3 linked regions of the Oryzias latipes genome follow. The protein of the gene in region 1 purifies or fractionates together with the protein of each later gene. This does not show direct contact. Links are inferred from orthologs where the notes say so. Each region holds a gene or a part of one and is shown on either strand. Other genes may lie near its edges.

What was found.
Region 2: the proteins of smc2 (region 1) and hectd1 purify together in Homo sapiens (affinity purification with mass spectrometry; 3 studies listed by BioGRID, with this or other methods). This does not show direct contact. The link is inferred for Oryzias latipes from reciprocal best matches to the Homo sapiens genes SMC2 and HECTD1.
Region 3: the proteins of smc2 (region 1) and ncapg2 purify together in Homo sapiens (affinity purification with western blotting; 4 studies listed by BioGRID and IntAct, with this or other methods). This does not show direct contact. The link is inferred for Oryzias latipes from reciprocal best matches to the Homo sapiens genes SMC2 and NCAPG2.

What each region holds. Positions count from the first base shown.
Region 1 is NC_019859.2:11,204,884-11,208,634, reverse strand, and holds the start of smc2 (structural maintenance of chromosomes protein 2), read right to left. Parts: upstream 2,418-3,751; 5' UTR 2,259-2,417; coding exon 2,091-2,258; intron 1,984-2,090; coding exon 1,834-1,983; intron 1,752-1,833; coding exon 1,629-1,751; intron 1,531-1,628; coding exon 1,492-1,530; intron 1,416-1,491; coding exon 1,305-1,415; intron 1,217-1,304; coding exon 1,172-1,216; intron 1,086-1,171; coding exon 852-1,085; intron 773-851; coding exon 623-772; intron 540-622; coding exon 306-539; intron 197-305; coding exon 37-196; intron 1-36. UniProt on the Homo sapiens protein: Central component of the condensin complex, a complex required for conversion of interphase chromatin into mitotic-like condense chromosomes.
Region 2 is NC_019880.2:2,616,681-2,620,331, reverse strand, and holds part of hectd1 (E3 ubiquitin-protein ligase HECTD1), read left to right. Parts: intron 1-1,031; coding exon 1,032-1,253; intron 1,254-2,021; coding exon 2,022-2,155; intron 2,156-2,238; coding exon 2,239-2,395; intron 2,396-2,484; coding exon 2,485-2,555; intron 2,556-2,870; coding exon 2,871-3,022; intron 3,023-3,086; coding exon 3,087-3,141; intron 3,142-3,215; coding exon 3,216-3,438; intron 3,439-3,603; coding exon 3,604-3,651. UniProt on the Homo sapiens protein: E3 ubiquitin-protein ligase which accepts ubiquitin from an E2 ubiquitin-conjugating enzyme in the form of a thioester and then directly transfers the ubiquitin to targeted substrates.
Region 3 is NC_019878.2:19,855,994-19,859,744, reverse strand, and holds the start of ncapg2 (condensin-2 complex subunit G2), read left to right. Parts: upstream 1-921; 5' UTR 922-1,027; intron 1,028-1,228; 5' UTR 1,229-1,252; coding exon 1,253-1,330; intron 1,331-2,018; coding exon 2,019-2,189; intron 2,190-2,353; coding exon 2,354-2,468; intron 2,469-3,233; coding exon 3,234-3,391; intron 3,392-3,507; coding exon 3,508-3,642; intron 3,643-3,751. UniProt on the Homo sapiens protein: Regulatory subunit of the condensin-2 complex, a complex which establishes mitotic chromosome architecture and is involved in physical rigidity of the chromatid axis.

The sequences.
Region 1 (3,751 bases):
CAACATTCGTCTTTTATTTTCAGGAGAATGCTGCACCTTCATAGTTGAGTTTGGCCAGCTCCGCCTCCAGTTTCTCTCGGCTGCTTTTGACGGCCTTAAAGGTGTCCTGATCTTTCTTGTAGCCGCTGTCCATCTTCTTCATCTCCGCTTGTTTGGTCTTCAGCTCTGCCTGGGCATGCTTCAGGGTCATTTGGGCCTGTGCAAAGATGGAAATGGTTGGGTTTCGGATCAAATAATTCAACGGAGAAGCAGCAGGTGTGCAGGACGTCAAGCCACTGCACATCAAAAGTGTCTCTTTTCTCCACCTGCTTGGCCTCTGTGTCTGCTTTGCTCATCTCGTTCTTGCAGGCCATCATCTGCCCAGCTAAAGTGGCTTCCTCGCCGTCCTCGTTGGTAGAAAGACCCGCCGACACAGCTTTGAAATGCTGCTCAGCTGCCTCAAGTTCAGCTGTGTTTTTCTGTCCTTCCACCTGCAGTGCCTGAAGCTGTTCGGACAACTTGCTCACTTCTTTTTCCTTCACCACGAGCACTTTCTTGTCCTAAAAAGAATGACCGAGACCAATAAGCTTGATAAAGTAAAAATCTTGCAGCCACCAATGAGAAGCACAAATGAATCCATTACCTCCTCCATGCTCTTCACGAGCTCTTTCCTCTTTTTGGTTTCATCTTTCAGATTCTGCTTTTTTAAGTCGAGACTGCTCTGAGCTTTGGCATCCTCACGCTGCACACTTGCAAGAGACATCTCCAAGGTTTTTAATTCTCCGTTTACCTCCTTAAAATAAACACCAAAAGTGTGTCAGAGCCACACAAAACATACAAATATTTTTTTTCTTTTATTTCTCTTTCAGTACCTGGTCATTTTTCTTCTGAAGCTCTTGAATCTGAGCAGAAAGCTCCTGGATTTTGCTCTCATTCTCTGAAACTTTGGCCTGCATCTTGACAATGTTGCCTTGCATCACCTTCAGATTTTCAGCCGACTTGACTTTAGTCTCCTCGGCACACACAAACAGCCAGGCCACATAAAGTCGTGACAAGTGCTGGATCTCACGCATCAGCTTCTGGTACTCCAAATAGGAGGATCTTTCCTGTGCATCAAAGAACATTTAAAGCATATCCTTAAATCATTACACAAATGTTGAAATAAAAAATAAATAAAAAACATTTAGCTCACCTCTTGCAGCTTTTGCATAGTTGGAGTAATCTCTTCATCCAAAATCTAAACGTCAGGAAACATAGAACAAAGTTTGCAGCTGCTTGTTTCCCCAAAAACCACAAGAAACTTGAATAACAGATGGTAGACATACAGTCTGAATCTCTCTCAGCTTGGCCTCTTTCTTCTCAATTGTTCTCTGTGCACTGATCTTTTTACATTCGTACATTCTGGTGCCTGCTGCCTCCTCAATCATAGCAAGAATCTAGAGACAAATAGTATATTAGTACTAACAAAAGTGTTTCTATTATACTTTTTTTTTCATCAAACAAAGTACATACCTCTGGTGGTTTCATATTCAAAACCTTGGTTATTCTTCCCTAAATAAGTAAAAAAAAAAAAAAGACCCCAAAGGTCAAACGAATGATTTTGTTTAGCAATTTCTGAAAACTCTCAATGTTTAAGATGCAAAGCTGACCTGCATGATGAGGAAATGAGGGTTGTTAACGTTGAGGCCAACAGAGCAGAACAAGTCCTGCACCCTGGTGTTGTTGGCATTGACCCCATTGATCAGATATTTGTTCCTGCCTCCTATGACAACCTTTATGAAGAAAACGTTTGTGATCAAGTTTTAAAAAATGCTTTATAAATTGGGATATTAAATAATTGTGTACTTTCCTGACCTGTCTGGTTACAGTGATCTCATCGTGGGTTTCAAACCCCAGAGGGCTCTGGCTCTTATTGGAGTTGTCAAAAGTAATAGACACAGTGGCCTTGGTGATGCCACCCTGGCCGTTCTTGTAAACCAAGTCCTGAAGGTTTGAAGCTCGAACCTTTTAAATAAAATAGAACAGAATTACTGTTTTTTTTGCTATTAAAAGAAGGCAAAGCTGCTTTTTTTTTTACTTTAATCAATGGAAACATGCGGAAACGTCCTTACGTGTGAGAGGTTGGAAATCCCCAAAAGGAAACATATCGAGTCCAAGATGTTGGACTTGCCACTGCCGTTCAGTCCCGTGATGGCATTGAATAGCGGGTCGAAGCCGTTAATTTCTGTCCTCTGTGCGTAAGATTTAAATCCTTCGATAATTATTGATTTAATGTACATCGTTACTTATCTTGTCTTGCCGAAACAAACGCCACAGAAAATATCCGTTTCAGCGACAAGTCAGTTAAAAGAAAAATGCGGCGAGCAAAGCAACAGCCCAATGTTTATATCAAACCAAAAGACTGTCGTCTAACTTGAATTTTGGCGGTAAACACACACTAAGAAAACTTTCGGTCGACAGTAGGCCATTCATCATGCCGGAGTCAAAACAAAAAAATCCATATGTAATATAATTTGACAGAAAATTGAAAGAAAATAAACATAAAAGACTTGGTCCGTAATTTGCTATAATTTATTCAGACCAGTTCAATTATGTTTATTTAAACGTTTTGTCAATGCATTTTGTAGGCATATACCGGGGCAGCTAAATCCCTAAACCATCGGGTGATTGGCGCACACTGTACTTTTTTAAAAATACTTTATTGTTTAACACATGTAGAACAAGTATGCAGGACAACAACATTAGCCATAACAGTGAGAATGCCACAGGATTATGAACAGTATAGGACTCCATAATACTTAAGGTTAAATTCTTTATATCTGAGTTTTATTGTCCATTGTGGTTAAAAAGCTGACCCACCAGTAGGATATCTTTATTAAAACAATTATTGTAAAATAATGATTTGTTCTTGTAAAGTATATACGCTATTCCAAACAAAAGAGTTATGAGGGGAAAATTTGTGAGTAAGTGCCCATGAAAGAAGAATCTGTCTGTGAAAAGCAGAGTTTAACTGGGATTTTGTCAATATTATAATGACAAAGGAGAAAAAAATGGAGACCATGTGTTAGCAAAAATGTGATGAGGGAAAATATTCCAGATGGAAAGTGGAATTTTTAAATATGATTTAATCAAGTTTATTTTAAAGTATTATTTAAAGAAGTAAAATTTAAGAAAATTTAAGCCTCCTTTTTTATAGTTCATTAATACAGATTTTTTTTAAATAAATATGATTTTTCCAGATGAAATTTAACAACATTTGGGCAATAGATTTAAGAGTCTGATTGTCCAAGTGTAGAGACAAAGCAAAATAAGTAAGTTGAGAAATCCCTTCTGCTTTTGAGAGTAGAATCTTCTTTCTCAAACTCAACTCTCTTTGAAGCCGTTGGTTAAAACGTTTTGGGAACGAAGTTTTTTTTTTTTTTTTTTTTTTTTTTTTTATTGAACAATTGCAACATACAAAACAAGAAAATACAACAATTATGCACATATAATGTACAATAAAATTCTAAATACAGAACAAACATGTTGCATTCTTTAAAAAATACTAATTATTAATAATAAACACAAAAGGGAATAAGAAATAAAAAGAAACAAAAAAAAAAAAAGAGAAAAGAGAAAATGCGAGAGTAAATCTATGTCAGCGGTCCAAAAGATTTACAGATGCTAATTGTTTTTTGAGCTTTTGTATTTTTTGAAGCAGAAATTAAGTTTAAATAACGCTGCAGTTCCAGTTTGAACACAAAGAAATCCGGTTTTTTATTGGAAAATTTTC
Region 2 (3,651 bases), on another chromosome or scaffold:
GCAGGAGAGAAAAGTCTCAATACTTTTGAGGGTATAGTTCACCTTCACCTCTGTAAAACATCTGCAGATGCTGTAAACTTTATTTGTGGACTAGATTTCATGTAGGAGCCAATAAAATGTGATCTAGATTTCCCCGAAACCCCAAACTGTCAAAGTGGAAGCTAAAAATCAGACCTCACTTTACAACTGGTCTGACTATTGAGATGATTTTAAAAATGGTCATTAAAACCAGGTATTTTCTAAATATACAAATAAACTTGAACCCACCGTTTGGACAACTTTATTAGCAGCATTCTTATAACATTAGACAGTTACAGTTACTGAATATTATGCATAATATTATGGTCTGTGGGAACAACTGTTGCAATAAATCCATATTTAGAATAAAGACTCCAAGTTTTTGTCTGTTTAGTACAGATTTCTTTTAGTTTGAAGTGGAAGGTTATTCTTCTGTTTCCTCACTGGATCTTTTCTGCCAAAAGAAATTTTCCAGATGTTGGTTTTTCGTCAACGTTGCTAGCTAGGAGCTTCCGTTTAGGCGTCGGAGCAGCCGCTTTAAGAAAGAAGCGGATGGCGGACACGTGATCGAGCCACTTGACATGTCGGACATGGTCTAGAATCCAGTGGTTTTCCAGAATAAAACTTCAAGAATCAGATTATAAACAAAAAGGAAAGAATGTAGGTCATGTTTTTTCTTTACGCACCAGTCCGTGGCCTGGGTTTTGGGAACTACTGTCTTGAATAACCTATAATAGTTTTTAAACTAACATATTACTGATGAAGACTAATGAAGAGCAGTGTGATGAAGCCTCCTCACCCTAACAGGAGGGTTGTGGTCGAAGCTCCCAGATCCTCTATTCGGAACTTTATTTTTCCAATCCAGATCACATGACACAGGCGTCAGGAAGTCTTCCCCATAAAACAGCTGCTTTTCTTGTTGTGGTGGTTGAGAGATCCCTCAGCTGTTTCCTGTCAGCTGACCGGACTCTTCGGTTTCTGAACGACTAACTGCTGCTGTTGTTTGTTTTCAGCATCTCCTCTTATGGGCGCTCAGAGCTTTCCTAACCTCACCACCACTGGCACCACCTCCACCGTTACCATGTCAACCTCCATAGTAACCTGCGGTAATAATGTAGCCACAGCCACCACGGGGCTGTCTGTGGGACAGTTGCTAAGCAACACACTGACAACCAGCTTAACCTCCACATCCAGCGAGAGCGACACGGGACAGGAGGCCGAGTTCTCCCTCTATGGTTTGTTCACACACACCCACTAAAACACACAAACACATGAACACACACGGCCTGCTTCACTAACCTGCTCCCTAACAACAGTCTGAGCTAAAAAAAAAAGATTAAACGCATCCTTAGAGGCTGATAAACGATGCGTTTACTTTTTTGTTCTTGATAGTTTTATGTCTTAAATTGTTCTTTACATTTTCTCAAAGTGAGAATTGAAATCCGAGTCGTTGTCGTTGGAATATTAAACCCCACTTTGGATCCACTTCCAAAGCGTTCCCAGTGGTCTTTTCATCACGACGATGGCGTTTTTGGCCAAACTCTTAAAAAAAACTGTTGATTTCAAGGACATAGTTTCTGCAGAGCCACAGGAGTTCATTAGAAATTCACGTCTGTGTTGTGGGTTGTTGGTGCAGAGCATCCCCGCCCCCTTTCCCCTCTCCCTGTTGTTGAGAGCTAGAAGCAGGAAGCTTGCAGCCCTGCCCAGAGTGTTTTCAATGTCACAAATGCAACCTTTTTCAAACCGCTTTTTCCTGTCTGTTCCTGAATCACAGGATGCAGAAGAAAGAAATACCCAGAATTTAATTTTAAGCTTAGTTTTTTGCCTTCCATTATCAGAAAATTGCCACAAGAACAGGTTAAAACCCCCAAAAACTCTTATTTTCATTAGTGGTTGTGATCAGGACATAGAAGCGTCTCTTCTTCTAAATGTGGATGTTGGAGGTTCGCTGGATCTCCTCAGCGTTCTTCATCTCTCTTTGTGCTTCCTGGGATGTCCTGCAGACTTCCTGGACAGTTGCCGGGCCAACACGCTGCTAGCAGAGCTGGACGATGAGGAGGACCTCCCAGAGCCCGACGACGACGACGATGAGAATGAAGACGACAATCAGGAGGATCAGGAGTATGAGGAGGTCCTGGTGTGTTGTTTGCTCTCCTCGCTCCTCGTTTGTTCACACCGAAGCCAACAGTCTGTCAACTGCGCTTGTGGGCTGCGTTCCAGGAGGAGGAGGAGTATGAGACGAAGGGAGGACGGAGGAGGACATGGGACGATGACTTTGTCCTAAAAAGACAGTTTTCTGCTTTGGTCCCTGCCTTCGACCCCAGACCAGGAAGAACCAACGTCCAGCAGACCACCGACCTGGAGATCCCCCCACCAGGTAAAGCTCATGTGGTCATCGCTGTGGGGATGAGGCTTCGTATTCATCACCCATGGAAGAAAACGTAACGTCGCTCTGTTTCGGTTCAGGAACTCCGCGGTCGGAGGTTCGGGAGGAGGTGGAGTGTGCCCCATCCCCCCACCTCGCCCTCACACTGAAGGTGAGACACGGCAAAAGCCTGCATGAAGCTCTGCGTCTGTCTTCCTAGAATATCTCCACAGTTCTTTAAAAAGGTTTTTTTTATAAATATTTTGAATTTTCAAAAAGCAGATTTTGTTTTCTGAAATGTTGAGAGTTTTTAGAATGGTGTGATTTGACAAACCAAAGTTGATGTGAGGAGAAACATCAGCTTAGCAACAACAACAACTTTCCTGGAAATTTAAAATAGCTTCACGTACCTGAAAAGATACCGATGGCCGAAATATGTCAGTAGATCCGTTCGATCTCGTTCGCTGAAGGTCTGCATCTTTCCCAGGTGGCGGGTCTCGGCACGGCTCGGGAGGTGGAGATCCCGCTCTCCAACTACAAGTTGACCATCTTCTACTATGTGCAGCGGCTCCTGCAGCTCTCCTGCAACGGCGCCGTAAAGACGGACAAGCTGCGGCGCATCTGGGAGCCGACGTACACGTAAGTGTCTGAATGCCAACGGCTGGCAGAGGCAGAGCTTGACTGTGGGTGTGTTTTCCTGCAGGATCATGTACAGAGAGCTCAAAGACTCGGACAAAGAGAAGGAGAGCGGGAAGATGGTGAGTCTGTGTGGCGGGTGGGGGTGGAGCAGACATTTCAGGATGTTTAATGTCTGCTCTCCTTCTGCCTGCAGGACCTCTTTGAGCACGTTGTTGGAAGTCGTTCTGGAGGTCTGAGCCCCAGCTCGGGTTCAGCCAATCAGAGCAGCGAGATCCTGGGCTGGGCGAAGGAGGCGGTCCTGGCCAAGGCGGGCTGCAGCCAGAACGCCTGCGGGGTGGAAGACGTCCTGCAGCTGCTGCGCATTCTCTATGTGATTGGGAGAGACTCTACTGCAGGCGGACGCACGCTGCAAGAGGGTACGCATGCATGCACACACGCGTATGCCTGTGGACACACATACACATGCACACATAAATGCGCACACACACGTCGGTTCGAGGACCATGTTAGATCTGAGCACAGACGGAGAGGAGTCTCTGTCTTCATCGTGTGACTCTCTGATTTCTTCCCCCTGTGCTCAGATGTTGACGAGCTGCAGTTCAACTCGCCTCCTGAGGAGTTCAGCAGCA
Region 3 (3,751 bases), on another chromosome or scaffold:
TGTTTTCAGTGTTTTATTTAATGAGACTTATTAGATACACAATAACAAGAATTTTACAGGGGTTTTAGTGGCATTATATTTTTAAAATGGGATTTTTTTAGTAAAATCTGCTGAAATTCTTATTTATTTCTGCCCTGTTTAGCAAAATGTGAAAAATTAAATTATAATTTTATTATGAAGTCTAACCAAAGGAACAGAAAGGGAGGCTGAAGTAGCAGTCTTTGTTTGTTGTTGTCAGTCAATGTTGTTTTGTTTAAAAAAAATTGTTCTTTATGCTAGATTTAAAACATTGGATGCACAAACTGTATGCAAATGATAAAATGTTTGTTTTGTATATTTTAGGAGATTTGTGCAATATTGATGGGGGGAAAATTATGTTTTAGGGCTATGAACAAATGTTGTACATTACAAACACTGCAAAAAGGGTTTGCTTGTGCAAAAACATGTCAGTTGAAGAAACTAAGTGAAGACAAAAATGATTGATTTTTCAAAAAGCCGAGAATGCATCTATATCTTTGCTTGTACATGTTTTGTTATGTTGTTATAATTGTTTGAAACTTTGAATACATTTCTTGTTATCTATCCCGTGCCTTAAAAATCCAGTTTTTGTTTTTTTGCCTTCTTTACTATTATTATTTTGAATGATATGATGCCCTGTGACTTTTGAATAAATCCTTTACTCTTGTGAAGCCTGCTTTTATTTTTTTTAACTTTTATTTCTAAAAAGATTAAAAATAATAATAATAATAAAACAATGGAGTAAAAGATAAAACAAAATAAAGCAATGGAGTATTCTGCATTAGATTGAAGTGAAATAACACTTCTGTAGTAGTTTGTCGCCACCGTGTGGGGTATAGGTGGAACTGCAGTTTCCCCTGAAGATGAATGGCGTCAGAGGGCGGGGCTCGTGGATCAGGAACGTATGATGTCATCACGCAAAAACGAATCAAAATTTGCGCGGGGATTGCTGCCGTAATGGTCGGCTGTCACTTCACGGCTGTCGAGACTCAAAACGGATTATAAAAGGGTAAAAAAACGAAATAAAACTAATAATATGAATTTTTGACTTTGGACAATAATGTAAACATTTTGCAGACGTGGATAGATTTTTGTTTACAACTTCTAACAAATGCTAAAGAGAAGAAGACGGCCATGTTTGTTTTCCTTTTCGTAGCTTGTGTTTACTGTAGCCGCTAAAATACTGCTAACAGTGTTTCTGTTGTATTAGAAATCTTCAATTTGGGGAGCAATCATGTCTAAACGAGAGGCGTTTTTAGAAGCCGCTGGTAAAGAAAATGTGGACGAATTTCTTCACTTCATTGAGCTCCACGTAAGTAAAGAGCAGTTGTTTTAAAGGCTTAAGTTTAGGATGTTGTGGGGTGTTTTTAATTTCAACTGAGCCCCTAAAAAAATGAAGTTTCTAAGAAGCAAAAAAGGTACTGGTTTTAGTTTATTCGTAGTTTTATTCCATGTGTTTATTTATTTTCTGGAATTCTAGTTAGACTTGTAATTATTGGATTTTTAAGCCTTGAATGTCAAATTAAAACAAATAAGCAAGCGTGGACGCCAAAAAGTTTTATTTTATATATGATGCATTGCTCAGCTTTAGGTTTTTATTTTTATTTTATGTTTTCAGTTTTAATATCAATGTTTTAGCTACTGTTTTTGTGTGCAAATTTAAAATTTAGATTAAAAAAAATAGCTCATTAAATTCAAACATCTTTTATTTGTCTTTATAATAATAATGATGATGATAATAATAATGATGATAATAATAATAATTATAGATTTTGCCTGTTTTTTATTTAAATGCATAGCATGTAGTTTGCTTTGTGTGACAAGAATTTGTTTTATGATTATTAATATTGTTTGAGACTATTTTTGGTTCTTAATAAACACATATCCAAAATATTAATTTATCCTTTCAGTTTAATAAACAAGTTGTTTCTTTTTCTTATCTTTTTCGCCTAATCTGATTCCATTCCATAACCTGGGGTTTTCTTTTTACTTCTGAGCAGAGAGACACAGCTGAGCCCTTCGACGTTGAGGAGGTGGTGCAGGAGATGCCCAGTAACCAGAGAGAGGTTTTGTGGGGGAGACTGGAGTCTCTGCTTCAAAACACCCTGAAGGATTTGCCTCCACAGCACTCAGAGGAGCAGGACATGGAGCCAGACTCGGCTGCAGTGCTGGTGACAATTTACTCATCAGAAAGATTTTTCTTCTTAAGCTTAAACTTAACTAAATAAACTTGTTTGTAACATTGCATTTCTTTTATACAGAATCACATTTAGCTATAGGAATTTTCCATCTGTTGAGATCTTCTCATGCATCCATCCCACAACTTCTCTTTCAGAAACATGCCACTTCTGTCGTGGATGCAGTGACGCTGGTGGCTGCAGCATCTGTAAAGACTTTACAGGAAGGAGACACCTATAATGAACTGCTAAAGATTGCTCACAGTCTTCATGGTAAGGTTTTTAAATATAAATCTACTAGTTTCTTGTTTTTTACAGCCATTTTCTTTGAACATTTTTTTGTTAATCCCTTTGACAGATTATTGCAGAGACGTTGGGGATTTAAAAGCAACACTATATACAAAAATGAGCCCAAATATTGTGTTACATCCACCAAGCATGAAGAGTTCCTCTTTCTGCCTGATTGTTGAACAAAATTTTCCATTTTCTGGTCATAAAAGTAATCAATTTTGTAGACCTTGCACATATCATGTTGATGTACTTCACGCCTTGTTTCATTGTTCACATTTCCACCTAATTTAAAGCTAAATGGGTGGCCTTCTTCTCTTCTCTCTGAAATATCAATCCAACTTTCATTGGATTTTTTTTCAGAAGCATAACATTCTGTTTAAAAAAAAACATTTTAGTTTGTGATAAAGACGTCCAGTTTGCTAGTTTTAAGGCACACAGCTAGATGGCATAGTTGTCTTATCTTAGGCTAAATGCATCATTGGCTGTTTAGTTTCTTTACAGGTTTCACAGCAGGGTAGGTTTTTGATCACATGACACTCATCCATGTAAGCTTGACCTTGAACTCACACTTAACTAAACTGCAAAGAAAATGTTTAAAAAATTACCCTTCAGCATGTTTTAAAACAATTATTTGCAAAACTTAATTTGAGCCATTAAAAAATATCCTGGACATCTGAATTTCAGACTTACACCAGTTGCATTTGAGTGAATCTCAGTGAAAACGTTCTGCTTGGGTTCTTTCCTCAGAATTCCTGGAGCTGCTTCCTGTGTTAGGGGTTCCTCTGCAGGTCCACATACAGACTCTGTATGAGGCCTGGTGGAAGAAGGGCCTGCAGGACATGGAAAAGTTTGGTCGGGCTGCTTTCCTCATCTCTCTGCAGAAGAGCTTCACTGCAAAAAAGCCAGTCAGTAACATCTCTCATGAAGTTCATGAGATCCAAGGCAAAAAAGAGGCGCGGCTTCAGAAATAGAAGTATTGGGACCAGGTGGCTTTATCGTTTTTGTCTTTTTATTTTGTCAGGGGGCTGAAATTCAGAGAGTGTGGAGCCTCCATGATGTGCTCCTGACTCTGGATTACATGTCAGAGGACAACAAGCAGATCAAAGACCTGTTGCTTCAGTGCTTTCAGCGTCCTGCTTACATTCGAAGCGATGATGTGAGTCCATTGATGTTTAGTGGCTTTGTTTCTGTGATTCACGGCCGGTCATCACTGTGGCTGCAGCTTCCTCACTGAGCCGTCAGACTGATGACGAGTGCTTTGTTAC